2 linked regions of the Mytilus edulis genome follow. The protein of the gene in region 2 interacts with the protein of the main gene of each other region in a pairwise test. Links are inferred from orthologs where the notes say so. Each region holds a gene or a part of one and is shown on either strand. Other genes may lie near its edges.

What was found.
Region 1: the proteins of U3 small nucleolar ribonucleoprotein protein MPP10-like (region 2) and U3 small nucleolar ribonucleoprotein protein IMP4-like interact in a two-hybrid assay, tested with the Drosophila melanogaster proteins (2 studies listed by BioGRID). The link is inferred for Mytilus edulis from reciprocal best matches to the Drosophila melanogaster genes CG13097 and CG11920.

The regions. Positions count from the first base shown.
Region 1 is NC_092344.1:30,348,186-30,364,229, reverse strand, and holds the start of U3 small nucleolar ribonucleoprotein protein IMP4-like, read right to left. Parts: upstream 6,219-16,044; 5' UTR 6,109-6,218; coding exon 6,106-6,108; intron 3,245-6,105; coding exon 3,136-3,244; intron 2,772-3,135; coding exon 2,688-2,771; intron 1,988-2,687; coding exon 1,878-1,987; intron 1-1,877. Other genes in the region: pre-mRNA-splicing factor ISY1 homolog, read left to right, coding at 6,469-6,471, 10,268-10,290, 11,804-11,858, 12,625-12,733, 13,298-13,410, 13,973-14,034, 15,101-15,156.
Region 2 is NC_092347.1:2,503,461-2,518,964, reverse strand, and holds the start of U3 small nucleolar ribonucleoprotein protein MPP10-like, read right to left. Parts: upstream 7,261-15,504; 5' UTR 7,202-7,260; coding exon 7,128-7,201; intron 1-7,127. Other genes in the region: glucose dehydrogenase [FAD, quinone]-like, read left to right, coding at 8,025-8,151, 9,130-9,338, 13,952-14,141, 14,617-14,745, 15,088-15,209.

The sequences.
Region 1 (16,044 bases), on a different chromosome or scaffold from region 2:
TATGACCACAGTGGTCGAAACCCTGAACAGTTGGGGAAAGTATGGACACAACATTCAAGCTTGATACAGCTCTCTGCATTTGGATTGTGATAAAATTTTTGACATAATTTGAGTTTCTGACACAAAACAAATGTCAATTTCTTACAAATCTATTGCGCAATATTGCGCATTTAAAGATTTCTTCTTTAAACTTTTCACAAATTTGGAAAAAAAAATGAAAACTACTACCACCCCCCTTTTTTGGCAATTAGTCCAAAACCTGACATTTCTTTATACATAATTTACAAGAAGTGTAAGGGAGGTTAATCTGAACATACCCAACATTGTATTGTTTTTTTAGTTACCTTCCTTACACAGCTTTTAAATTGTCTTAATTGTCCATTGACCAAAAACCTATTTTTTCCCCTTTTTTTGCCCCTAATTCCTAAACATTTTGAGCGATAACCCCCAAAAGTCAATACTAACCATCCCATCATGGTATGGGAACTTGTGATATGATTTCAGAGAGATTCGTACACTTAAGCACAAGTTATTGTTTGATAAATACAAAAATGCTCATTTTGGAGCCCCTTTTTGGTCCCTAATTCTTAAACTTTTGGAGCCATAACCCCCCCCCCCCCCCCCCCCAAAGTCAATACTAACCATCCCTCCATGGTAAGGAAACTTTTGGTATGATTTCAGAGAGATTCATACACTTAAACACAAGTTATTGTTTGAAAAATTCAAAAATGCTTATTTTGGGCCCCCTTTTTGGCCCCTAATTCCTAAACATTTTGAGCCATAACCCCCCAAAGTTAATACTAACCATCCCTACATGGTATTAAAACTTGTGGTATGATTTCAGAGAGATTCATACACTTAAACACAAGTTATTGTTTGAAAACTACAAAAGTGCTTGTTTTGGGCCCCCTTTTTGGCCCCTAATTCCTAAACCTTTGGGACCATAACCCCCAAAATCAATCCAATCATTTTAACTGTTGTATTAAACATTGTGGTACAATTTCAGAGCAATTGAAATACTTTTACACAAGTTGATATCCTGAAAAAAGAAAAATACTTCTTTTGGGCCCCTTTTGGGCCCCTAATTCCAAAACAGTTCGGACCAATATCCCCAAAATCAATCCCAACCTTCCTTTTGAGGTATTAAACCTTTTTATAAAATTTCATAGAGATCCATTCACTTAAACAACCTAAAGTTATAGTCCGGACACCAAATGTGTATTCGGACTACACAGACGACGACGACAAGGTTTGACGACGACATCATACCATTATACGAACGCAAAAATGTTTTGCGGTCATATAAAAACTAATGAGGGTTAGCTTCTCTCAATTAAATAAAATCCAATGGTTGATTACTTTGGTTTTAGCTGATGGTGGAGACATTTCAAATTCAAGACGCAGGAATTATAGAACTTCAAATGGAATCTTTTAAGATGATGTAAAAATTTTGTTAAACTTTTTAAATAAGTTTTTCATATTATAAAAAACAGAAAAATCAGGGTCTGAATGTTCATATATATAGAATAAGATGCTGTAATTATGATTTAGCACATGTATAAATTGTTCATTATTTTGAGTATCAAAAAATAATCCTGCATGTGGCAAGTAGCAAGTGAGCTTAACTTTCAACTGGCTATGATTGTCAGTGTTCCTACTAAAGGTAAATGGTTCTCTCATGCTTCCTTTAACAATTAAAATTGACTGCAACAAAATAGCATAATAGTGCTGAAAGTTGTGTAAACCACCAATCATAAATACATTGGGAAATTTAGGATTATTTCTTTACTTTCTTTAAATTAAAATTATAAATATATGCAATTTTTTCCTATCCATATTCATAATCAAGAGGAAAGGGTTGAAATAAAATAACAAACCTTTGCAAACTGCTTGAGTTTAGAACTAGGATCTCTGGATGTGGTGACCATGATTTTAGGATCTTCGACTCCAGCCCATTTATACTCATCATCAATGTGAGTGGTCAGACCTTATAAAAATAATACATATTTAATTTAAATCTCTAATAAAATGATAAAAGTTTTTATCTTCTTATCTTTTATACTAATTGTTGATAATCTTAAATTGGTATAAAAGTCATCCATGAGAAGACTTTTGTTTAAATTTATATTTTTTTTTTCTTCTAATATAATCTTTCGCCAAATGACTTGTAAGTACAAATGTACAATTATGTCCTATTCTAAACTGTTTCTGAAGGACAATATTTGTGTTTATTGTGTTTACAGTTAAGGTGGATTTAGGACTTTCTAACATCATCCAATAATTTAATTTTTGATGTAATACTTCTGATTGGCTGACGTTGTTTTGTTAATCATCTAATAGACATAATTTCGTCATGTAACTACGTCATCAACGTTTTTTCATCATTTACTCCTGTTTAAAATGGAATTTAGAATTAAATTATAAGAAATAACTGTAATATTTTTTCTGTTCCTTTTGAAATAAAATAACAAATGTGGTACATACTTTAAAATAACCTGCTACGCATGTTATTCAGTGTGCATTTTCTATGTGATTTCTTCATAGACAGAAAAAAATATTAGTCCTTCCTTAAATAGTCATATCTTCTAAGAAATAATTTACTTTTGTATTTCATTTTATCAGGTTTATTAAAAACAAAATGCTAAAAAATCAGATTTTCTTAATTTGTAAATATAAAATGATAATACCATCAGCCCCTTTATCATCCCAGTCCAAAGTCTTCTGAAGGTCGACAGCATCTTTCTGTAGATCAGTGGGTATCTGATTGTTATCTGCAATATAAGTGTCAAATCTCTGTAAGATGTATGATAACTAAAGTAGTAGACAAATCACTTTTCTTTTGATTGGTAATATTAAAGAAAACTTGAGGCCGATTCTTTTTTTAAGGGGGATAATTTATATCCAAGAAAACAATCACTGTGTTTTAGCATTACATGAGTATAATAACTCAGATGTTTATTTCAAAATTTCTTTAAATAACTTATAAGATTTTGTCAATCAATATTTCATTCAAACTTAGAAATAAATTTAAATTTAAGGACAACAGAATATAATTCCAGCCATTGCAATATTATTTTTGCTTAAATGAAACCATCAACATTTTTTATACTACACAGATATTTTGTCTATGCTTACCATCTAAAGCATTCTTTAATTTTTGCTTTTTCTCTAGAATTGTTCTCTCTCTATCCTCTATAGATTTTCTGTATATATACTCTCTTCTAAGTCTAGCTTGTCTTCTTAACTAAAAGATACATATAAAAATATATAAAATACAGGATCAAATTGAATTCTAAATTTACAAAAAAGTATAGTTATTTTTTTTATATCTTTTTTTTTTCTTCGGGAAACCAATGTCATTAAATTCCCTTTTCTTAGTGCCTGGATCAGCCAATTTATTTTACATGTACATGCTTTAGCTAAAAAAAAACATCATTAATTTATTTTTTCAATCTACATGTAGTAAGCCCAGACCCACATCCCAAAATCTAATTGCCCTCCACTAATTAACCAGTTAGCACTTTCATTTATACCCTTGAAATGATATAATTAATAAATTGAAGAAAATCTTAGAAAAAAAGGGAAGGAAGCCCATTTAAGGGGGTCTCATTGGGGGGGGGGGGGGGTTCTGATCCCGCTTACTGTTTAGTCAGAGATTCCTGTATCCCTCTTACACTATGTAAGTAAGCAATTCTCATTTTTTTGTAATTTCCTGTGTCCCGCTAGACTTCATTTCCCGTTTTCACGGCACAATAATTTAACTTGCACGCGTCACACATATAAAAAAAAAAGGCAATCCCACGTCACGCTTCCACCCCAATGAGACCCAATTTAAACAGTCATTTTACAGTCACTTTAAGTCATGTGACTTATTTGTATATCTTGCTTTGGGGATTATTTTTCATGTTTAAATGTATCTATTTTTTATGGTATGTTAAGTTTATCTCTTTCTACATGTACATGTTTTTTTACACGTTCTATGTTTTGTTATCAAGATATTTGTCAAACAAAAATGAGAAAAATTGACTTTTAGGGCAATAACTCCCAAAAGTATTTTGATAAGTTTGATCGAAATATGAAAGTGGTTAGATTATGACATTCTGAGGATTTTTCACTTACATTTGTACATGTATCCATCATAGTCCATCTATAAACAACTTTTTTTATTTACATATAATACAGAAGTCAAATGTATATACAAGTACATTTATTCCGAGGTTAAAGTCTTTATTACCAATGTCACCTGTTTTCCACAATATGCATTTTTTATTTTAAAACAATGTAATTGTATTTTAGGGTTTTGACTATATTTCCGGCATTCAATGTACATGTACATATCAAGGGGAATCAATGGAGAATATTTTTCTGACTGAAAAAAAGTAATAATTAAATTAAAAAACCTTTGAGAACCACTCACATATCCCACGGCCCCACATTGTCACTGGATAAACAAATCTCACCAGATTCCTAAGTTAAAATACTTATAACTCTACCATGCCTACAAATGTCAACTGATTTTTATTACCCCTTTTGCATTCTATGCCATTCTATGATGAAAGGAATGCAATTATAATTAATTTGAACCAACTGTTTACAAGTTTGATACTCTGGCATCACTCCAACACTTAGTTTGAATGACATTTTATTGAAATTTATCAGAAATTATTAGCCTTACCGGACGCAATTACGACTGGACACAATGACGAACGATTTTTAATGTTTGCCCCCTTATATTATATTTATGAATGATAATTAATAAATGTTTCTATTAATTAAAAACCCACTACATTACTTGTGTTTTCACGAAAAAAAAGTTCATGCGCACTTGGTTAATGTTACAGACGACGAAAAATTAAGTTTCGTAAATGTCAAAATAATGACTCCCTCTCTTGGAAATTACATGAATAAAGCATACAAGTTAGTGTAAATTGCCTTCTTTTGTTATTATATAGATAGAAAAATATCTCCTGAATCTGTTCATATCTGTGATACCCTTTATCTTGCCCAAATAAACAAAAAAATGAACCTTTTCTCAGACTCGGGTGACCCTGAGCATTGTCAAAAGAAAATAGTATTTTTATTGAAAAGTCCCGAGAACTCCGAAAGTAAAGGCTAAATATAAATTAAAATCATAGGTTCGCTAACTAAAAAGAGATTTCAGTGCTTCTTAGACGAAAGAACTTGCATAAAAACAAAAAATCTGAATTATTTCCTTTTCAAAGAATTTTTTTTGTCACTAATTTCGTCTTCAACTACTGCTGAAGAATTTGAAGTAAAATACCATATTACACTTCTTATTTTCTTAGGAAATGTGTTTAAGATAAGATTAATGTATGTTTTATAAATTTAGATCGTTGTCATTGATTTTTTCTGCCAGATATATAAATATTGTGCCGTTCGTAATTGCGTCCATATTGGGCTTGCTAGACCCATAAAACCAGGTCATGAAAATCTTACCAAAGTATCCCAACGTAAATAGAAAATTATGTGTGTTACAATTCAAAATGAAAAGCATTCATACATCTTTAATTCTATGGTACAAACAATTCAAGAAAAGTATTCTACATAGAAAAAAATTATTAAAGTTCAAAAATCGTTCGTAATTGTGTCCAGTGAGGCTAGTATAATAGCAAGTACTTTTTTAACACATGTCAATTTCCAATCCATATCGTGTCTTTAATAACTATAACCTGATGATGAGATCAGCTACAATTAGGTAGTGTCAAGCCCTGACAACATATATATTCCTGGTTGAGGCAAACTTTATAAGTTACAGACAAGCTTATAGACAGAGGACAAGGTTTAAACTTTTAAATGTCTCTTCTGCAACACTGACAACAGAAGTTTATAAATGATGACACAAAAGTGAAGTCATTGGTTCACCTGTTCACTAGAATCTGTTAACCAGTAAGAAAAAATTGGGGTATGAGGTTGTTGTTAGTTATAGTATATATAATTTACATGATTTACTAGTATTTAATTTCTACTTCTTGTATAAACATTAGCCTTTTCTTCTTTTCCTAGGTCACAGGGTACAAATATCAATATCTATATTCTGACTAAATGTATTGCGACATCGTGTTTGATGTCTTGGTTATCCCTTACCATTTTGACTTTCTTGTTTTTACTACATCTCTATATTAAAGATAAATACAGCAATACAAAAACACACGTGTTGAACAAACGGAAGTAAACAGACCAATGGTAAAACCAATTTATGCCATTATGATTCCGACCATATAAACATTTTTACAGTACTAAATTTTAAATACGTTTACTTATTTATCCCTCAATAAATTTTAAATATATTCCAATCCTTATCTATTTATTCAACTGTTTGATTTTGATATAGGAAAAATGAAAATAAATGATGTTCGATACTGAAGAACCATCTTTTAGCTCAGCCATATTTATCAAGGCACTTCCGGAAATATTTTTCTGAACGTTTGAAATGTGAAACACTGAAATATGGTAATTTTATCTACTGATATGTACTACAACTTTTGAAACATAACTACAAGCCGAATGTTTTCATATCTTAAACCAAAATAATGTTTAATTTAGATAATGAAAGTGTTGTGGCGTGAAATTGAAAAAGTCCCTTTTTTTTTCCTTGCTGTACATTGTATCTTATTTTAAAATTTCTAGTTACTTTGGAACCTGGTCAAATCGGCACCCAAAGTAGCTATAAATGGCACCCGATAAAGTTATTTCGGCACCCAAAATAAACAGGTTATTTGTAATTGATATACTTCTTCTTCCCGTTCTACTTAAAGTGTAATTGACTCGGGCGCATCTCAAACAGACAGGAGGGCACTCCTCTGGCCAAAAATAAAAGTCCAGGAAATAATCCTGACAGTATTTATAATAAAATATGATATTAATTACATCTATGTACACTGGTTATCCTGCTGTCTATTTCAGATGTGGCTGGGTCCAGGGGATGGTATTCACTCTGGCCCTGAAGTCCTCTAGGGATCCGTACTCCACTACAGATTCGGGGAGTTTATTCCATTCTCTAGTTGTTCTTGGAAAGAATGAGTGGTAGTATACATCCCTCTTCACTTTAGTTTGTCTAAGTTTGTGGTTGCCCCTGGTCCTACTGTCTCCTGTCGTGTAGTACTTGGCTGGATCAATGCCAATCATCTGGTGTTGGGTCTTGTAACACAGCACTATACTCTGTTTCCATCGTCTATGCTGCAGTGATTCCCATTGGAGTTGGTCCAGTAGCTTAGTTACACATCCAGGAGAGTTGTCCTGGTAGCAACTATAAACAAAGCGAGCTGCTCGTCTTTGTACCTGTTCTATGTCACGTATGGTGGTGATTTGGTGAGGATCCCATACTGGGGAGGCATATTCCAGGGTTTGTCTTACAAGGGTAGAGTAGGCTGTGGCTTTTGTTGCTGGAGTACACCTACCAAGATTTCTCCGTAAGAAGCCAAGTGTCTTTGAGGCTTTCCCTATGGTCTGGTTGATATGGGTTGTCCAGTAGAGGTCTTTGTTGATAGTGAGCCCCAGGTATTCCCGCTGTCTTTGGTCTCTAATGTGTGTCCATGGAGTGTGTAGGACATCTGGTGTTGATGACGTCGTCCTGAGTGGAAACACATTTGCAACTCCTTTTCCCATTTTTCCAGCAAGGTTAGGTCTTTTTGCAGCAAGTCTGCATCTGCTGTATTCCTAATGCGGCGGAAGAGTAGACAGTCATCAGCAAACAGTCTAGCGCTTGATGTTGTTGCTTCAGGGAGGTCATTGATGTAGGCCAGAAAGAGTAAGGGGCCCATCACAGTGCCCTGAGGTACTCCAGATACCACGTCAAGAGGGTCCGACTTATGGTTTTTCAAGGATCACAGACTGAGTTCTGTTAGACAGACACTGTTTAATCCATTCGAGCTGGGAACCTCTTACCCCGTAATAGTCCATTTTACGAAGAAGTCTGGCATGTGGTACCTTATCAAAGGCCTTGGCGAAGTCTAACAGGATGATGTCTGTCTGGTCGCCGTCCTCCATGTTCTTAGCTATTTCATGTATAGTTATTACCAGCTGAGACTCGTATGACCGTTTGGTTCTAAACCCATGTTGTTCATCGCAGAGTATGTTGTTTTGGTCAAAGTGGTCCATTATAGAACTGAGTACTATGTGCTCTAGCAGCTTACATGAGATGGACGTCAAGGAAACTGGACATGATATAAGATCATATAAGTTCAAAAGATTAAAGTGATAATTACTAGCGTCAGGAACATGCTGGTACCATCTAGAGTATACAGTTACAGTATTAACAGTATTTGTCAGCCATTTATGTATATCCCAAAGGTTTCCATTAAGGGCATATGATACAGTTTTGAACCTGTATAAAAATTTACAAGTTGATGAAAATTTGCATATAGGCTATTTTTTACCTGATTAAATCAAATTTGTCATAAAAAATATACCTTCATGTGCTATTTTTTGAGTAAAATGAGGTCGACATTTTGTATATTTGCTCAAAATTCAGATTTGTGTCCGTATTTTCTTTTTCGAAAGAACGACGTAACTTTTTTGCTTCAAAAGATAAACACAAATTGTTTTTTGTTAAATAATCGGTAATTTCTGTATTTTATAAGTATCATTGAAAATTATGCAATTTTTATTCCGAAATAACTCTATATTTATCAAATGTTCATGAATAGAGGAAAAAACGTCATTTTTTGCTGCATGTTTATCAAAATAAAAAAAATTGCGCTATTTACAGTTTTATAAAATTTGGGTCACATAATCTCCTTGCAAAATGTAACAAATTGCTGTTTTAAAAATAGGAGTCCATGCACTCGTTTTCAAATTAAATCAGTTTGAATGATAAAAATCAGTCGAAAAATGCATCTTTTCCCGATATGTCATAGTTTGACGTCGCGAAAATAACATTTTACGTTAGCAACGTCATTACCTCCCATGTAACTGTATCGTATGCCCTTAAAACTAGTGACAGTTGTCAGAAACTTGCAATAAATCTCAGGGCTGTATGTCTGAATTGATATGTTCAAATTAGAACATGAAAGAAAATTGGAATTTTAAAATAATAAATACCATATAAACATGCTTCAAATATGTTGAACACAATGATTATTTTTTCAATGTTTCTTCCCAATTCATATGTTAAAAAACAATTTTTATAATACCACAAAAAAAATTTTGAGTCGTATAATGGTATCACGTCGTCTTCGTCGTTCTCATCCAAAGATGCATTTAGTTTCCGGACAATAATTTTTTTTTAGTGAATGGATCTCTATAAATTTTTACCAGAAGGTTCAATACCACTAAAGGAAGGTTGGAATTGATTTTGGGGGTTATGGTCCCAATAATTTAGGAATTATGGGCCAAAAAGGGGGCCCAAAATAAGCATTTTTGTAGTTTTCAAACAATAACTTGTGTTTAAGTGTATGAATCTCTTTGAAATTATACCACAAGTTTCCATACCATGAAGAGATGGTTAGTATTGACTTTGGGGGTTAATGATCAATTTTTTTTTGGAATTAGGGGCAAAAGGGCCAAAAAAGGGGGAAAACTAGGTTTTTCTGGTCAAAGGACAATTAAGACAATTAAAAGCAGTGTAAGGGAGGTAATTCAAAAACATTTAATATACAATGTTGGGTATGTTCTGATTAATTACCTCCTTTCACTACTTGTAAATAATGTATAAAGAAATGTCCGGTTTTGGACTTATTGCAAAAAAAGGGGGGTGATAGCAGTTTTCATTTTTTTTCCAAATTTTTGAAAAGTTTGAAGAAGAAATCTTTTAATTGCACAATGTTGCACAATAGATTTGTAAGATCTTGACATTTTTTTTTGTGTCAGAAACTCATATTATGTCAAAAATTTGATCACAATCCAAATTCAGAGCTGTATCAAGCTTGAAAGTTGTGTCCATATTTGCCCCAACTGTTCAGGGTTCGACCTCTGTGGTCGTTTCAAGCTGTGTCCTGTGGAGCACCTGATTTTGCCATTGCCTTGGGTCCAGGCCCCATTTGAAAAGTGTAAGAAATTTCAGTGTACTGCTTTATCAAATTACTAACAAATATATACCGAGTTTTTAAAGATATACCAAATATGAACCTTAAAAATTGTAAGTTTTGCAGAAAAATACAAAAATATTTAAAACCAAAATTGACAAACTATTCTGAAATGAAAATTCCTTGCTGTAAAATTATTTCTTTAAAACTATTTTCACTTTAAAAACTGAACTGTAGTTAAACTTTATAACACTCTAAATCTAATTCTTATCTTCTATTATCAGGCTAGAAACAGTGAGAAGGCCATGTGAGTATCAAAAATGTTATTATGTCTCCATAACTACATCATTATTGGTTAGGATATATACATACATGTTATAGAAAAACAAAGTACATGGGGTATCCATCTATGACACAAAATTGATACATTTAATAACAGCAAAAAAACTCACAAAAAGCAAAAGAACAGCACTTTTATTGCTGTTCTTAGTCTGAAAGTTAAAGTGAGGTCTTCAACACAGCACAAAAAACACGCTCACCTCACTGCATTTTCAATACCGCCAGCACCAGCTTGACTTCTTTGCAAAAATAATTTTGATAGACTTGGTAAAATTTAATGTCTGTCCAAAAACCTTGTTTTGTGTAAAGTCTCTACATTTGAGTTTGTTTAATCTGAATCAATTAAAATTTATCTGTGTTCATTTGTATCTATCCAAAATAATTTACACTATATATCAATTTAGGATATATATGTTGTGTACAAGATGTAAGTTTGTACAAATTATAATTTGTACAGGGTTTTTGTACAAGTTATAAGTTTTTTTTGACACCTACCTTCTTGCAACAGGTGATACGGGTTTATCTTATAAAATGTACTAGTGTCATGTTTTAAATTTAAAAAAAATACACTTCAACCTAACATTTAGTGCTATTCTCCTTGTCTTCAATCTGGAGATGAGGATACCTGAATGGTTCAAATTCTAATTTTATTTTTTTCCTTATACCATATTCATATCCATACAAAATCTTTATGTGGTCTTGTAATGTTTTTGTATCAATGCTCAGTATTAGACTGTATCATGAAGTTGTGAAAATATGACAGAAATATGCGAAGCAAAAGACTGTGTGCTTGCATCATCAATTTTTGTTCAGCAGGTCACACTGATAACTTTTACAAAAAATCTGTACAAATTATAATTTGTACAACAAACAGGCTATTATTTGAACTTGGAATTATTTTTAATTATGGAATTTGCATAATTTCTTGTGTTTAATTTTTTTTTATAAATTCCATGTTTATTTTGTATTATGATCTTTTGAGCGGTTAATAACACTTTCCATACAATGTATTTTGGTTAGATAGTGTTGTGCGCGGCACAGTACATTCTATTGAAAATAGACTATTTTCTTTGTAATAGAAAGTGTTGTGCGCAGCACAGAACATTTCAGTACAGAATAATCATGGAATTTATTAAAAATTTCAATAACAAGAAATCAAGCAAATTCCATAGTTAAAAATAATTCCAAGTTCAAATAATAGACTGTTAACATTACAAATTGTACACAACATATACATTGCAATAAATGGTTGAAGTGGGAATTAACATCAGAAACTGAAATAATTTTAGCTGGCATTAATTGCATTATGAGTTGATAAAAAAACATACAGATATTTCTATTCCTATATACAAGTACATATGCAATTTGTTATGCATGTTAAACAGGATGTTCAACTACATGTATGTGTAAGTAAAAAAATGTTATATTATTTTGGAAGAAAAAAACTTTTTTCACCTCATGATATTTTTTTATTGTTTCAGGACCACCTTGGCCAGGTGGCGGGCTGCTCATTTAGAAGGAGGCATAAAAGATCAGGTATGATGAGCTGTATATTCTGTTGGGTTTCTTTTATTACATAAATAAATCAATATAATAGTGCATTCCACCTTATCTACCTTTTGTACATCTAACTACTGGTAATTCAGGGTAACAGTAAATAAACTATATACCCAAAAAAATTCGAGCTAGTCAATATTACAGTTTGTTAAATAGATATTTTTACAAGTGAAGGATTATTTTAAAAGTTCCAAAATTTGTCTTTTACACTCGTTCACACTTTTATCATGAGTACCTTGGTTATCAGTTTCAGTCCTAAGTTGATGTGTACATACTGATTTTACTAAACATTATTTCGTTGAGAAATTAATAGATGTGCATAGTAAGATAACATAAACTAGTAGATTGGAAATAATGAATGGAAGATAATTCATGCTGAATTTTAAATACAAACATTTATTAATCATATATAGATATAAGAAGATGTGGTATGAGAGCCAATGAGACATTCTCCATCAAAATCACAATAATGAATTTGTAAAAGTAAACCATTATAGGTCACAGTACATTCTTCAACACGGAGCTGTGGCTCACACCAAACAGCAAGCTATAAAGGGCCCCAAAAATTACTAGTATAAAACTATTAAAACGGAATTACCAACGGTCTAGTCTATATAAAAAACTAGAAATACTTATGAACCACATCAACAATTGACAATTTCATGTACTAAACATCAGATTCACATTATGAATGTTTTTCTTAATACAACTAGCATTAATGCTGTAACAATTTTATTGTCTTCAGGAGAGACGTCCATATTTAGCCACAGAATGTGATGAACTTCATAAGTGTGAAAAATGGAGAAGACAGATCATTGGAGAAGTGTCTAGGAAAGTGGCACAGATACAAAATGGTAAGATAACAACATGAATTCTAAATAGATTTCTTTTTTTATCAAATTCAAAAATGTTACCAGTGCTAGTCTATACAAAATCTATTTTTATTGAAATTCAATGAGGACTGTCAACTAAATTAGAACCAAAGTGGCATAAATCTGACGAAATTTACAATAGATGGTTTTCCTGTCGTTTAAGAAAAAGTGTATGAATGAAGAAGTGAGAATTGACACAAGATTCCTGTCCAATCATATAACATTAAAATTCAAATCAACAAGTTGAGCCAGGAGTTATTGCTTACTATTGAAACCCCTACTTTTTTTTTTGATTTTCAGGAAGTACATGTATACCTATAGATCTAGGTAAAAACTCATCACACGGTATAGATCATTACTAGATAAATCAAGCGGAAATATGTATAATGACAATATCTTCCATAGTATTTTCTAATCTTAAAGATGTTTGGTATTTTAGATATGGGATCATTGCATGATATGAATATGATAAAAAACATTCAATGTGCTTTTTGTAAATTTTTACTCTCAGTTAAATAGTTTCATACTACTAATGACTTTTTGCAGCTGGTTTAGGAGAATTCAAACTACGTGATTTAAATGATGAAATCAATAAATTATTACGAGAGAAAGGTCACTGGGAAGATAGAATCAAGGAACTTGGAGGTGCAGATTACAAAGTTAGTAATTTTTTCAGCAAAAATATGTATATTTTCTTGTAGCTCATGAAGTCTTCAGCATTTTATTTTTGACAGGAAATATCCATGAGAGTAAGTTAAATTGAAAATAGAGAATGAATTTGGATGTACATGAGACTACTCTATAACCATAATGTAATAATTTGCGAGCATTTAAAAAAAAATCTAAATTGACATAAAAAACAAAAATATTTCCTCTCACATACATTTGATTTCTTAACAAAAATCATTATCAGGGACAAAAAGTTACTCACAAATAAAGTTAGTTACATGTGGGAAAATGTATATAACCCACTTCATTGTCACATCTGCATTGGTTTTGTTTGACGGGAAAATCTCATGTAATCTTATCGTTCTTTAAATATTAATTTGTTGTGGAAAGCAAATAACTCAATTGAAAAAAAAGCAATAAGTATGTAAACTGAATAGGTATCATTATAAGAAATGATTTTGTCTTTAGCATTTTATTGTTTTGTATGCATTAAAGTTTTTTTATATGACTAATAAAACTAATAATTCTCATTTCTTATATATTTTAAAATAGAATGTTGGACCAAAAATATTAGATACAGATGGTAAAGAAGTTCCTGGAAATAAAGGCTACAAGTAAGTTGGTAGCTACTTATCTTTTCATATTCATAAAAGTAGATATTGGGTATATATTAATGAGACAGCAACTTTCCAAAACAAAATATATTTTACAATACTCAATAGATGTTTCTAAAATGGAAGTTAGTGATTTAATGGCATCCCTAGAATAATAATTACATTAGATGTATGTTTCATTATAATATTTTATTCTGATTGGCTAACTGCACATCACGTGTTATTCCGTAAGCAGTTGCAATGCTCAATACAACTTTTCACTCATGATAACACGTGCTCCAACAATAAAGTGCACAGGTGAATTAAATGATAAAATATATAAAATTCGTGTTTTCATGATCATAGCTAAAAAATGTAATTATAAGTATTGAATGCTTCTTTTTGTAACTTTATAGGGTTGTAAAAGCGTTGACCGTGCGTACATTTTTAGAATGAAACGCTTCCGCGCTTCATACAAAATGTACTTCGGTCAACGCTTTTACAACCCAATAAATTTACAAAAAAAAAGCATTCAATTCTAAAATAAGTGCAGCAAATTAGCAGTCAGTTGTGCCACTTTTGATTGAAATAAGAATGTCAATACTTTATACCACTGTTTTATATCTTATCAAGATCAAAACATCACAACGGCAAACTGGGAAAAATTCCCATACTACTGTTTCATTGAAACATGGGCTTTGAAAATGTATTAGTTCTTAACCCAAAATTGATACAGAAGAACTAAATCAAAATTATACTATAAAATCACCTGATTTGTTTCTACGTGTTTCGTGAGGGATTTTACTTGTAACACCTCCATCTTGATATAATCTATGGTCAAGTGACATTACCAAGATGTTTATATTTCATAAAGACAATGTGTTTTTGGTTCAAATCATATCAAAGTTTCTGAGGTAATCAAATATCTGGTGTGTTTAAAATAACTTTTCAGATTGCTGTTTAGATTTAATCAGTTCTAAGTATACAATGGGTACGGTATCCATATCATTACAATAAGTCAGATATAAATGTAAAATTCATTGATGTCATTAGCTGTGCAAACTAATAACTTCTTTTTACATTGTAGATACTTTGGTGCAGCAAAAGATTTACCTGGAGTACGAGACTTGTTTGAACAAGAGCGTAAGAAATTTTGATATATTAGTTGGTTTAAACAGATCACTGAGAATTGAACATGCATGTTTAAAAGGATTTGACAACTGTGATAATGAATTGTTCTTGTTTTCTGCACTTGTGGAAAACCATTGTATCTTGAGAATTTATCATCATATTTTGTTGAATTGAAAATTGAGCTAGATTTACTGTTTTCAAGTTTATCTTAATGTTATGTTGTTTCTCAAAAAAACATTTTATTATATACAAATGAAATTGAAAATGGAAATAGGGAATTTGTCAAAGAGGTAACAACCCGACCATAAAGCAGAAAACAGCTGATGGTCGCCAATGTGTCTTCTACACAGTGAGAAAATCACACACTAGGAGGCAGGTTGACAGAAACCTTCATTAAGAAAATAAAAGATTTTTATATGACCGCAATAAATTTGCGGTCGTATATTGGTATGACATTGGCGTTGTCATTCGAAGACACATTGGTTTTCGCACTATAACTTAATTTTAAGTTACTAGAAATCTATGAAATTTAAACACAAGGTTTATGACCACAAAAGGAGAGTTGGGATTGATTTTGGGAGTTTTGGTCCCAAGAGTTTATGAATAAGGGGCCAAAAAGGGGCCCAAATAAGCATTTTTCATGGTTTTTCGCACCATAACTTTAGGATAAGTAAATAGAAATCTATGAAAGGAGTAGGTCCAGTAAGGGCCGATTTTGGCCTCAATTTTCAAGTTCATCTGACGAAATATTTTAGACACTTTTAAAACACTTAAGTGTCTATTTCAATTGATTCAATTAGTTTTTGTGAAAGATTTTAACTGATCTAGTCATTAAAAACGCTCCGATTCAAGCTTGAATATGAAAAATCTATCAAATTTGCTAAAAATCGTCACTTTTCA
Region 2 (15,504 bases):
CTTCATACTATTGTAAAATCCAAACATTGTAGCGCACCCCGCAAATGAGCATTTCTCTTTCAAATCTCACCACTTCTCCCTATCAGTTTCAAAAAGAGAAGTCACTTCTCCCTATAATTCTGAAGTAGTGTGAGCCCTGAATCGACACCTGATATAGTCAATTCCTCACCCATGTTAAATATATATTTAAACAGTATTTTAAGCAAAAAGAGTAAAAATAGGTAAGGGGTTGCCAGAATTTTTTTTCAGTATTTAAGCAAAAAGAGTTAAATACTTACTTTCACATTTTTGGGTGTTCATTGTACATTTTGTATATATTTATTTTTCTCAACTAAATGACATTTTTGGTGTATTTTTAAAGGGATAATTCGCGATTTTTTACTTATTAGCTAATTATGTTCATAATACCATAAAAAACATATTCACCAAGTTTTATCTGGATATGAACAGCAATAAAGGAGAAAATTAAGAATTATTTATTTTATTTCTTCGAACTTCCTGACTTATATGACGTAGTTTAAGTCTTTAAGCATGCCGGGAGTGAAAATAATCTCATTTTAAATCTTAATCGTGAATCATCTTATAACGCTATTTAAAGCGCATCGACGACGTTTGGTGTAGCTATTAACCAACTAATAATTAAGATGGAACAGCGCTCCGCTTGAAATTAGAATGTACGATTTATATTTTAATATTTTCTGAAATGATTATAGTGATACAAGTTAATCATATAAAATATTTTTTATGATTTTTTTTTTCGACGGATATTTTGAACAAACATATATAACTGATAGTGTTTTAAAAATGCATGTTTGTACTTTTTACCTTTTACGTCAGTCTAGTAAATATGTGCTGCTAGTACATTTGTAATGTGCAAATACGGCCCCGCAAATACAATGTGTATTGTACTTTGACACATAGTGACTACCTGTTAAATGCGTGGGTAAATTCAAGTTAATTAAAAGATTAGCATTTTGTATCTTTTGATCTTTACTCAGTGAATTTAAGCCGTCACGGTTCACTTTTCTAGGTGTGAACAACATTTCGTATGAATGATAAACAGGGGAATCTTAATATTTTCCATGAGCTCAGGTTAATAAAATATATTATTGACGCTGAATATTTTTTGTTAAAAAAAAGAAATACTGAATTAATTTAATTGAATGAATTTATGAATAATGATGTCCTTATAAACACGAGTAAATGAATTAAAATTTTTAAATAAGAATCGGTGACCTTGAATTTTTGAAATAGATAGTAATTACCAATTGCAGTTATATAAATGGGTCGTTCAAAGCGTTTTTCTTTTTTTTTTTAAATATTCAGGAAGTTATGTCCTTATCAAAATAATTTAATTATCACCACGTTCTAATTCCTCAGCTATTTGAACGAAAATATCATAAAATATAATTATGGTAGGTATTAACCTTAGTCATTCATAAAAGATTCAAATCATACCATTGTCATATGATAGGGCTCTCAAAAGAAAAAGCACTGATGGATTGTCCTAGAAGCATATTTTATGAGAAAAATAATGGTCTATAAGCAGTTACATTTATTTCATGTTTGAAGCGGTGCAAATTTTTTAATTTAATTTGACTTTTACCAAGAAATGCCTTGTAGCAACGGGGAAGAGTAAGTCTAATGTCAGAAAATCGAAATAATGTAATTTAACAGTAAGGAAACAAATAACGGACTTTGGCAAAAAGGAAGAACGCTTTTGATATATATCCTTTTCTCATTACATCAAATCTTTTTTCAATAAATCATCCTACAACAGCTTAAAAGCTGGAAATGCCACCGATTTCGTGGGTGTGTTTTAGTGTTGTAAAAATCTTATATTGAAAAAATGACAACTCCTTTGAATAATTGAATGTACATGTACAGAAAGACAATCGAATGCCGTTTCTAGAGACAACCACGAACTAAGTATCAACTTCGTGTCATAATTGCACATGCTTGTCTCTTCACATACAAGTAAACGCAAATTTCCTAATAGCAAGTTATTTCGTAATTGCGCCCGCTCATATCGGAAATAGGACAAGAAAGTATAAGATAGTCATCCATAATGGTCGGTTAAATTCTCTACGATTTAATCAAAACAATGTGGTAAAATGATGCAGTTTTTTTTTCTTAAATTATTCATCACAACTCAAGACCATAACTTAAATTTAACATTTGATAAGCAAATAAAACAAGCTGACAAAACATAATGAAAGTTATTGTGTACAAAAGCATTGGCGGATCCAGGGGGGGGGGGGGGGGGTTCGGGGGTTGGAACCCCCTTTTTTTGGCCGATCAATGCATTTGTAGTCAGACATATAGTTGGAACCCTCCTTTTTAATATGACTGGATCCATCCCGAAAAGTAAATCCCTTGTACAATTGAAATTTCAAAAAAAAATCATTTTACATGGTACGTGTACACAAGGAATTGTATATTTAAATATCCTTGGTGTACAGTACTAGATAATCTTCAACATATTAATTTTGAAACCGAAGTCAAAATTAATAATTTACGGTGTTATTATTTCTGTCTTTGCACATGTCAGAATTAATCAGCATGTGGATATAAATTTTAAACTCTTAATTTCATATTTGGACGGATTTGTGTATTTCAATCAGATTAGGGGCATACATTGTTAACAGGATGTATAATACACCTGACTGCATTTTTGATGGCACTTTTACCTGTGCACACCTGGGTCAAACAGCTAGGTCCGGAATTGCGTAATGTCACCAGTTTATTACCCCGCAGGAAGTCACTAGAATACCTGAATGTGACACTATTACACGACCTCTGGCAATAATTCAAAAGATCGTCGGTTTTCATATTAGAGTTAAGTACCCGAAATGAATAAAATCTATTACAGATAAAAGACTTTTTTTGGCATAGTATTTCGAAAAGTTGAAAGACGCTACAGATACCTTTTAATCTCATTAGAATAATTTTATGCTTTTACAACTTCCAAATTAGTGTCCACCCTACTAGATGTATTCCTATCATAAATTTAGGAAGAAAAATTACTCCTGCGATTGACCATAAATCATTACAAATTTCGTTAGGCTAGCTGTCGACATTTTATATCCCGAAACTGCTTAGCCTTAACTTGTAGGACCACGCAACTGGGTTGACCTAGTAGACAGATAAAAAACATAACAAGGGGGCGGTAAGATCTATTAAGTTAAGGGGAGGGGGGGGGGGGGGGGGGGGGGTTAAACAGCATCTATACTACATGTAAATAAAGTCTTATTTTTAAACCATTATTATATTAAACAAATGAACCTTTAAATGTTTTACGTAATTTTTAATTTTTTATGTACACATAAAATTAGTGCACCTAAAAAAAATATACTTCATTGAACTGGTGAATTTACGACAGAAAGTCACAAAACAAAACGTCATAATTCAGTTTCGAGTTTATTTTTCTTTAAACGAGAAAACGTATAAATTAAATAATTCTTTTTTGGTTTGTTCTTGAAATATTATTTTTAAAGCAAGTTTTAAACAGAAATTATTAAATTAATATAAATGACATCACATTATTGTTATAAAATCAAAATGCCAAAGTGGCTAGGTACCTTTTATGGCTTCATTGTGCCAAGAAATATATCCCCTTTCATGATTGAAATCAAATATCTTTTTATTTTTAAGGCTTATAAACAAGTTCATAAACTTAAAATTGAATAAATGTAATAACTAATATAATATTTGAAGATTTTTTTCTTGTTTATATTCAAAAATTATCAACAAATTTGTTGTGACTTTTTGTCTGTGACTTTTTATCCGTTTACTAAACTTGTAAACAACAAAATCTGTAACTAATGCATGAATGCCGAAATACTGAACTACATTAATCTGACAATATCTTTCAACCAGGCTTGGAACGAAATAGCAATAAAAACATTCATGAGAAAAAAATCATAATTACTATCAAATTTCCAACGAAACAAGATGCTTCAAAATGGTCTGCACACACTTTCTTGAACTTGTGAGTGAAGGTGGTTGGTGTTAAATTAAGGTTAATCATCCACGTCTGGTACAACTCTTTCTTTTTTGCAGGATCTGGGAAAGTGTGTAAGCTTATGCCATGGGAACTCCGAGTTGTACATTCGTACGCTTGACAAGTCATTTTGATACTGAATATACGATATGCCATGCTTGTTTTTTCGCTTTGTGGTATTCAGATATTTTATTCAAATATACTCACCACGTGACTATTTGTATCGGAGATGCCGTCAAAATGGCGATAAGTCGAGAAGTGATAGTGGGATTTTAATTTTTATTTTAATCACTTATCTAGAAGAATTGAACAATAATTTTAACAAATCTATGATTATTTATATCAAATAAACATAATATAAAATTTTCATTTTTTTGCGAAGTTTCCCTTTAATGATATATATATGAGTAGTCAAAATAATTATTACGTCTGGCAAGGCTTTTTTAATTTTATTCTGGGACACCTTTCTATGACCGCAAGGCTATGTTAATTTTTTTCTGGGACGCCTTCCTAAGAAAGCTTTCCTACGAACTTCGTAGGAAGACGTCACAGAATAAAAAAAATAGCCTTGCCAGACGTCATAATTATTTGGACTAATACATGAGATATTGGATATTTTTATGCATTATTTAAACCAGTCACAGGGGCTTGTTTAGTGGGTCAGACGAGGTTTTACTGTCAATGGCGATCGCTATCCTGATCGCCATTGACAGTAAAACCTCGTCTGACCCACTAAACAAGCCCCTGTGAACCAGTTGAGCATTTTACAGGATTGTTTGTTTAATGCTTTTTAAACTTTACTGAAAAAAAAACACCTTAAATTTGCTTAAATTATTTGGCATGAATGTTTGATTTATTGAAAGGGACTCATAGTTTTCCATTTTTTTTTAATAATTGTCTAATTGTTAAAACAACAGCTTGGGTAAGGGCTTCGTTGTTTACCTTTATACACAACAACATAATTTCACTTTGGTTTCGTTGCTTACCTATAAACACAACAACATATTCACTATGTACTTGGTAACAGTTATTAATTAATTGAATAGAAAATATTATAACAAATATTATTGGATGCCGAATTGACGTCAAATAGGTGCCGATTTGACTAGATGCCAATTTAACCAGGTTCCGACTTGACTTGTACGTTTCAATTCCTCTGCGATCGTTTGCGGTATTTTCTTGAGAAAAACCTATTTTCCATCATCAAAGAGAAGAAGAAACTGCTTGAAAATGATTCTGGAACGCTTCATGATTGTTAAAATAAGTTAAATTCACTCAAAAAACAATTTTAAAACTTGCGATGTTTAAACAGGAAGTTTCAAAAGCACGTGTAAAAAAAGAAATTAACCGGTGAGAGTGGAAATCCGTACATAACAGATATCACTATAGTACGACTTTGAAAGCAAAACAGTTCCATCCTTTTGTAAAACAGTCTTTAATATACCTATCACATTAATGTTTGAAGGGTCTTAAGCTTATTCAAACCATAAAAGTCGGTATGAAACACCAAAACGGAATGAACAATAACCGATTACGTTTTGTAGTTTACAAATTCTAAACTGGTTCCCGTCAAACTACAACACTTTGTCCAAGTGTAGTGAATACAAGCAGAAACCAGTTAGTTTGTAAACTGGTTCCTGGCTGATTACTACACAATGACCTCTCATGCATAATTAATGATAACACAAGCAGATTCCAGTTTGTATAGAAAATAGTAAATACGAAACCAAGCGCGGTAGGCAGAGAAATGTAATGAAGTTCAGGTCACCAGTTATGGAACAATGACTGCGTCATTTTCCAAAAAACTGTACGTTGATCAAATAATGTCAATAAACATTCCCCTGTTAGTTTAAACAATATTCATTCAGATAAGTCAACATTAAACGATATTGTACAATGAAATAATAGTAAGGATTCAGAAACAAGCAAGTTGCTTTTACAAATCTGTCTGCTCTTTGGTCAGGTTGTTGCCTCTTTGACACATTCCCCATTTACATTCTCAATTTTATGATGTAGTCAATCCTTAAAGTCATAATATAGCATTTATTTATAATTTTAAATACACATAATGGTTGTCAGATTGGTGTTTTTAAAAGGCAATTTCAACAAAATCATGACTTGTGCTATTTCTTCAATCTTGGTGGTTGGTTTTTTAATATCAGTGGAGGTAGACGCCCAGAGAGAAGGACTAACCTGCCGTACATTAGGGAAAACTGACAATTAAATAGTCAATAAAGATTGGAGTCAAGTGCACCTGCCACTGAAAGGATTTTATCTCACAAAGTCAAGAGTTGACACATTGACAGGCAAAAAATGGATTCTAGTCAAATCGGCAGCTGAAAGAGTCAAACAGGCTGCTAGTCAAATAGGCACCTGGTTAAATCGTAACTGATGAAGTCATTTTGACACCCATGGTAAATGTGTTGAATATACATGTATATATATATGTATTTTTCCACATTTTCAATAGTGTATTCAAGGTATTACTATTTGTTTCATATGCTTTTTTTAAGCAGTTGAGTACTTTGCAAGATTGTGGATTTAATGCTGTTAAAAGTTTAACTTGGGAAATTTCTCAAGATTAAACAACAGCTTGGGTAATTGACATCAGAGTAGTTTGGACTGTTCTGTTCTGTTCTGTTTTTGTAGTATTCCTCCACTATCTTGGAGAACCGTTGTTTATACAACGTAATAAGTCCACTACTGTTCTTCAATTTTGGACTGAAACACCACCTAATCGTCTGGGGAGCTACTTATTATTAAAATAAGATATAGATCCTAGAATTAAAATTATTATTATTTTAATTCCTCTAATGAGATCATTAATCCTCCGTCACTTTCACGGTTATCATATTGGACTACTAAATCATGTAGTCCAAATAATTATGACGTCTTGAAAGGCTATTATATTTTTTTTTTTCTTTGACGCCTTACTTCGACGTCGAAGTAAGGCGTCAAAGAAAAAAAAATTTGATAGCCTTTCAAGACGTCATAATAATTTATTTGGACTACTAAATCATGGTGTTTTCATTTTCATTTCGTCCTCTTTCACAGGTCGCACATGCCCCATGTTAATTTAACAGAATAATTTAAACTGATATATTGAAGAACCCGAGAATATTACCTTAAAAAGTCCTCGGGTTTTGAAGTCAATGATGAAAACTCTTTCAATGCAGTGGTCAAACTTCTGTGATCCATGCTGCCTTTGCATTCGGAACTCGATACTTCCGAATGTACACAAATTATCTCCCCTTTTGCGAAAAAACCGAGGTCAAAATCTAGACCGAAGCCGAAGCCTTGATCAAAGGTTGTAAATTGTACGTTAATAAGGTACCGATTTTCCATTTTCTAAGTTCACCTGGTCCATAAAACTGTGTAAGACATTGACATCACTTGGCGTCCGTCGTCTTTTGGTGTTGCCAGTGTTGGTTAACACAACATTTTCATTTTATGGTAGAGCTGTTTAAATTTATGACAGAATTAGCAATAACATGAAACACTGGCTCCGGTTACATGAAAATGTAACAATAAAAAAAAAAAAATATAGTACGTTGGAGACTAATTGCTGGAATATAGGGTTTGGTAAGGATCCGATCAATTACGAATTTTAACAATAATATTTGTGTCTACGGTTACATTATGTTATACACCTTATCGCTAATCCTGGCTGACAGGGCCGCTTGAACTTTTTTTTTGCCAATGCAGTATATAAAAAAATTATACAGTCAAGCAAAAACTCCATATACCTGATTATAATCAAATTCCTGAGGGCAGGATGGAATTAAACAATTCTATCATGCTTACAAGGGGAATTTGCCAAAATAGCAATGGCTATATCGATCAGAAAATATTGCACATCTTTATAACTTTTTTATTCTTAATTGCAGGAACAAAACATAACCTTTGCCAGGTTATTGAACCTTAAATGCTACCATTGCAACTGCCAATGAACATGATGAAACACTTATCTTCTATTGTAGATATATCCACCTAAGTGTATTTCAGAGAGGCAGTGTTCAACATGTGTTTTTCATGGATGCCTATAGCTGTGTTGGCTATAGCTGTCATTGCCGGTTATTTCTACTTCAACAAGCCATCAGATATCTACCTCAGTCGACCTCTCAACTCAACATATGACTATATTGTTGGTGAGTTCTTTTATCATACATATAAGAAGATGTGGTATGAGTGCCAATGAGACAACTCCCCATCACAGTCATAATTTATAAAAGTAAACCATTATAGGTCAAAGAAAAGTCATCAACACAGGCCTTAGATCACACCGAACAGCAAACTATAAGGGCCCTTAAAAATTACTAGTGTAAAACCATTCAAGCAGGAAAACCAACGGTATATTCTATATAAAACCAACGGTCTATTCTATATGAAACCAACGGTCTATTCTATATGAAACCAACGGTCTATTCTATATAAAACCAACGGTCTATTCTATATGAAACCAACGGTCTATTCTATATAAAACCAACGGTCTATTCTATATGAAACCAACGGTCTATTCTATATAAAACCAAAGGTCTATTCTATATGAAAAAAATATGAAATGGGGAACACTTATGAACCACATAATTGTATAGCAAAACAAAAGCAAACAAACTAAATGTGTATATAGGTTAATTAACTTATTTCTGTGGTCTACTCCTTAATTATCGAGATGGGTTGACATTGCCTTTTTTCTTATTGTTCATGTACCCCAGTAAAAATAAACCAGTTCTAACCAGTTGGCTAAATATTTGTTAAATCACAGGTTTACATAATTTTTATGTTTTATTTCTTGTAGCTTAATTGTCTGTTTGGAATATTTTTTCTAGGATATTTTCATAAAATATTTTGAAAAACAGATTCTACCACTTGACCTTATTATTTGAGTAAATTTTACCCTCTCCAATAACTTGAACAATCATGAATAAATACACATTATCAACAAGAAATTGTTCCAATAAAATCTGTATTTTTAAAATTGTTTAGATAAGTGTATGAGCTTACTCGTCTTATATAATGTATATTGTTTAGGAGTATGATTTGGAATGGATAGGAGAGGGCAAGATTGTGACCCTTTGCCAGTGATTTGTTGTGTTTTCCTTAATTTCATGATCATTTTGTTTCAGTTGGAGCAGGTTCTGCAGGAGCAGTGGTAGCCAATCGCCTGTCAGAAGACAAAGATAAATCGGTTTTATTAATAGAAGCAGGTGGTTCTGAATTAGGAATTCTAGAGTTTGAAATCCCAGCAGGATTTGTTGCCCTCCAGAGGAGTGATCATGATTGGGAGTATTATACAGAACCTCAAAAATATGCTGCACAGAGCATGATAGAAAAGGTAACTTGACTTGGAGTATTATAACTTAAAGACAAAAATATGCTTCACAGAGCATGAGAGAAAAGGTAACTTGACTTGGAGTATTATAACTTAAAGACAAAAATATGCTTCACAGTACATGATAGAAAAGGTAACTTGACTTGGAGTATGATAACTTAAAGACAAAAGTATGCTTCACAGAACATGAGAGGAAAGATAACTTGTATTGGAGTATGATAACTTAAAGACAGAAATAAGCTTCACAGAGCATGAGAGAAAAGGTAACTTGTATTGGAGTATGATAACTTAAAGACAAAAATATGCTTCACAGAGCATGAGAGAAAAGGTAACTATACTTGGAGTATGATAAATTAAAGACAGAAATAAGCTTCACAGAGCATGAGAGAAAAGGTAACTAGACTTGGAGTATGATAACTTAAAGACAGAAATATGCTTCACAGAGCATGAGAGAAAAGGTAACTTGACTTGGAGTATGATAACTTAAAGACAAAAATAAGCTTCACAGAGCATGAGAGAAAAGGTAACTTGACTTGGAGTATGATAACTTAAAGACAAAAATAAGCTTCACAGAGCATGACAGAAAAGGTAACTAGACTTGGAGTATGATAATTTAAAGACAAAACTATGCTTCACAGAGCATGAGAGAAAAGGTAACTATACTTGGAGTATGATAACTTAAAGACAAAAATATGCTTCACAGAGCATGAGAGAAAAGGTAACTTGACTTGGAGTATGATAACTTAAAGACAAAAGTATGCTTCCCAGAGCATGAGAGAAAAGGTAACTTGACTTGGAGTATGATAACTTAAAGACAAAAATATGCTTCACAGAGCATGAGAGAAAAGGTAACTTGACTTGGAGTATAACTTAATGATAAAAATAAGCTTCACAGAGCATGAGAGAAAAGGTAACTATACTTGGAGTATGATAACTTAAAGACAAAAATGCTTCACAGAGCATGAGAGAAAAGGTAACTATACTTGGAGTATGATAACTTAAAGACAAAAATAAGCTTCACAGAGCATGAGAGAAAAGGTAACTTGACTTGGAGTATGATAACTTAAAGACAAAAATATGCTTCACAGAGCATGATAGAAAAGGTAACTTGACTTGAAGTATGATAACTTAAAGACAAAAATAAGCTTCACAGAGCATGAGAGAAAAGGTAACTTGACTTGGAGTATTATAACTTAAAGACAAAAATATGCTTCACAGAGCATGAGAGAAAAGGTAACTTGACTTGGAGTATGATAACTTAAAGACAAAAATATGCTTCACAGAGCATGAGAGAAAAGGTAACTATACTTGGAGTATGATAACTTAAAGACAAAAATATGCTTCACAGAGCATGATAGAAAAGGTAACTTGACTTGAAGTATGATAACTAAAAGACAAAAATAAGCTTCACAGAGCATGAGAGAAAAGGTAACTTGACTTGGAGTATGATAACTTAAAGACAAAAATATGCTTCACAGAGCATGAGAGAAAAGGTAACTATACTTGGAGTATGATAGCTTAAAGACAAAAATATGCTTCACAGAGCATGACAGAAAAGGTAACTTGACTTGGAGTATGATAACTTAAAGACAAAAATATGCTTCACAGAGCATGAGAGAAAAGGTAACTATACTTGGAGTATGATAACTTAAAGACAAAAATAAGCTTCACAGAGCATGAGAGGAAAGATAACTTGACTTGGAGTATGATAACTTAAAGACAAAAATATGCTTCACAGAGCATGAGAGAAAAGGTAACTTAACTTGGAGTATGATAACTTAAAGACAAAAATATGCTTCACAGAGCATGAGAGAAAAGGTAACTATACTTGGAGTATGATAACTTAAAGACAAAAATATGCTTCACAGAGCATGAGAGAAAAGGTAACTTGACTTGGAGTATGATAACTTAAAGACAAAAATATGCTTCACAGAGCATGAGAGAAAAGGTAACTATACTTGGAGTATGATAACTTAAAGACAAAAATATGCTTCACAGAGCATGAGAGAAAAGGTAACTTGACTTGGAGTATGATAACTTAAAGACAAAAATATGCTTCACAGAGCATGAGAGAAAAGGTAACTTGACTTGGAGTATTATAACTTAAAGACAAAAATATGCTTCACAGAGCATGAAAGAAAAGGTAACTTGACTTGGAGTATGATAACTTAAAGACAAAAATATGCTTCACAGAGCATGAGAGAAAAGGTAACTTGACTTGGAGTATTATAACTTAAAGACAAAAATATGCTTCACAAACTAAGCATAAGCACATCAATAACCAAAAAAAAATACATAATAATATTAAATCCATTTAAAAAAAATTATGTAAAAATCAAAATAAAAAAAATACAGAACTCCAAGGAAAACTCAAATCTGAAATATTACTGCCACTGGAAGAAATATTACAATATTTGCTCAGAATGAAAAAAGGTCATAAAATATTTTTTTGCTAAACAGAACTTTTATTGTTGATTCATCATTATTTGTTGGATCCCAATGTTCGTGGTTTTTGTGGGTTACAGGTGAACCATGAATTCAAATGTTCAATGAATTACTCATTTTCTATAAGCTTTGTATGCAGAGATTGGGAAAACCATGAACTCAAATAACCATGAAAATGCTGGTTTTCCTTAATCCACGAAAATTGATACCCACAAAAATAAAAAAATCCCCAGTATTATAGTATTGTTCTTAATATAATATTTCTGGAGGAAATTCTTCGGGAATCATACTTATAAGCACAAAGAGATGTAGCACAGGGCATGCAAACACTTAGATAAACCAAAAGAAGGCAAGATATGAGCAAAACTGACTTGACAAGTAGCAATGGTAAAAATACAAAAAGTTCTTCACAAAAATGGTTAAATTGATTGACATGAAGATTTATACCAACAGTGTTCTCACTAAAAACAAGTCAATCCTGAACTCATATGAATGTCTTGACTCAAAATATTACCACTCAGGTCAGTCCAAAGATGCATAAAGATTTATTCAGTCCACCTGATATAAGAAAAAGAAGATGTAATATGATCACCTATAAGACAACTCTCTACCAGAGAGACGAAAGTTCGCTTCTTATCTAACCTAAAAACTTTGCTCTAAAACCAAAATCTAAATATCATATATATTGAATTGTAACATAAATTGGATTTTTTTCCTTTGATGTTTTTATGAAATAATTTGCTTAAAAAGTGTGGTGAGGGAAAACCATGGTATATTATATGCAAATTTATGTTGTACCATACTTTGCTAATTAAATATGCAACTCGACTAGAATCCAAAGGAAAAAAGGCGGAGCTTCATCCATGGTATAACATATTCATTTTCATGTTATTCCATGGCTGAAGCTCCACCTTTTTTTTTAAATGTATCCGCCTCTAAAATATCTAGGAAGCTGTAAAACATACTAAAAGGTCAAGATCTTCATTTGTTTTCATTTTATAAGAAAAGGCAATAAATTATGTGTACCACATTTAAAGAAATCCTTTTCAAACTATATAGGATTGTTACGAATTTCCTTAATTTTGGAAACAATTACTAAATGTTTCTTCTTTCAGTTTTGAAAAAAATAAAATGTAAAACTATCATTTCCTTTGCGAAAATGCAATTAAATTTCGATTTAAAAAGGGGGGTATCTATACAAAAAGGAATAAATATCGGCTACAAATATCTGTGAAAAAACATGATAAGGGGACGTACACTATCTACGCCCCTGGATCCGCCACTGTTAAAATATTGTTTTATCATTAAAATTGTGTTTTAATAAATAATCTAATAAAATAACGGAAGAAAAGCATTTTTCAATTAGATGAAAATTCTGTAAAATATGATTAATTTGTATGATACATTGAAAAAAACAAAAAAAAACAATTCTTACCGTCATTAGAATAATTATTTAATCCTTGTGGAATCCGACATTTTTGTTTACCTCAGTCTGATGACATTATGAAATTACCTGCGCCTACAATCATACACGGGGCGCAAAACTAAATCCGACATTTTCTTTACTTTCTGCAAATTCAGGGGTTCTATTACATGAAATATACAGACGATCATACACGAAGCGCAAAAGTGACTGGCTTGCGCGAGCTTCCATTTCATTGGATAAAACTGTAACGTGATCAATTTCCAATATTAGTTGAAGGTCTTGAAGCTGTCAATCATTTTATTTATATTACAAATTTTATATACCATGTGTCTTACTCATTAACATATTTAAACAAACTCATCCTTCGGATTCGTTTGTTTAAATATGTTAACTCGTAATAACCATGGTATATATAGTACTTGGTGAAGGGAATTTAATCTGATACTGGATTTTATTCTAAATCATCAAAATTATTCCCCTAGCACCTTAATAGTAGCAGCATTATGATAAGTTCCAAATAATACTTAGACTAAGGAAATTAGTGAAAGACAATATAATCTTACATGAAATGTGGAATTGGTGGAAGGGCCAATTTATCAGTGGCTGCTAGAAATTAAGATTTTCATACCATTCAAAGTTTAATTCAGTATGAATAAATTAACATAATGATTAATATATAATGTCAAAAGGTCATACTGGCCAAGAGTATGAATAAACTAACATAATTTTTAATATATAATGTTAGAGGTCATACTGGCCAAGAGGGAAAGTACTTGGAGGAACTAGTAACCTTAACAACATGGTCTATGTCAGAGGTAGTCGCCATGACTTCGATCAGTGGGAAACAGAAGGGTGTCCTGGATGGAGTTATAAAGATGTTTTACCATATTTTATAAAAGCAGAGGACTTCCAAATGGAGGAATATGCTGATTCAGGTGAATAAAACAAAATGAATTTGAGGGAATTCTGTTCCACTAATTATGGTTTCTCAATAATTTTGTAGGATTGGTCAAAGGAATAAAATCACAAATTCATAGTTTCATTATGCCTTCTATATAAATTATGCAATTTCAAGGATTTATATAGATATAGGAAGATGTGGTATGAGTGCCAATGAGACAAATCTCCATCCAAATAACAATTTATAAAAGTAAACCATTATAGGTCAAAGTACAGCCTTCCACACAAAGCCTTGGCTCACACCAAATAGCAAGCTATAAAGAGCCCCAAAATGTGTAGTGTAAAACCATTCAAACGGGAAACCAACAGTCAAATCTATTTAAAAGAAACAAGAAACAAGAAAACTTATGAACCACATCAACAAACGACAACATCAGATGGACATTGTTATGTGACAGGTCTACAACTGTATCAATGAGTAGTATGATAATTATAATGATGTGTTCACAGGTTACCATGGTAAGGGAGGCTACCAAACTGTATCAGAAAGTCATGTGACAGAGTTAAGAGACATTTACATGGCAGCATCAGAAGAAGCAGGCTATAAAACTGTGGATTGTAATGGCAAAGATATGATTGGTAATAATTAATATTTTTTTTTTAAATATAAAACTTTAGATTCTTATTTCAGCAAATACAGTTAAACCATTCTAAACTAACCCTGTGAAGATTTTAGATTTGTTAGACACATGACTCTACAGTTGAACCTTGTTTCAAACTCAGTTGTATGGAAAAATGGTCACTGAAAATTAAGATAAGATTTAAACTGATAGTCTTTTGTTTAAAGATTTTGGCAATTTTGAAATGGGGCAGAATTATGGACCTTGAGACATCAGATGTATCTAACCTTTGACCATTTAGTTTATGAAAAGTCATTTTTTTTTTATAATTATTCATTCTAAAATATAATTCTTTTTTTAGGATTTTGTAAGATGCAGGCATCCATTAAGAATGGCCAGAGGTGGAGTACTGCTAAGGCCTATCTCAGACCGGTCATGGAGAGAGAGAATTTACATATTAGTGTTAATTCTATCGTTACTAAGGTAAAATGTGTGGTGTGATTTAGAGGACTAAAACTAGAGTTAAGGGGAGGTACCTAAATTTTTCTTGGGTCAATTAGGTTAGCAGAAGAAATCTAGTACAAGCTGACATAAGCAATGTTGTCTTAATGATCCTCACTTTGATTAATAAACAGTTATTTAGTTGAATCTTTTGACCAAAACACTTACTTATAATACACATAAAAAGATATCATATCTGCCAACTGTCACTATTTGAGGGGGATTTCCCCCATGAAAGCTCCCAAATGGAAATTTCGAAAGAGCAATTTTGTCCATA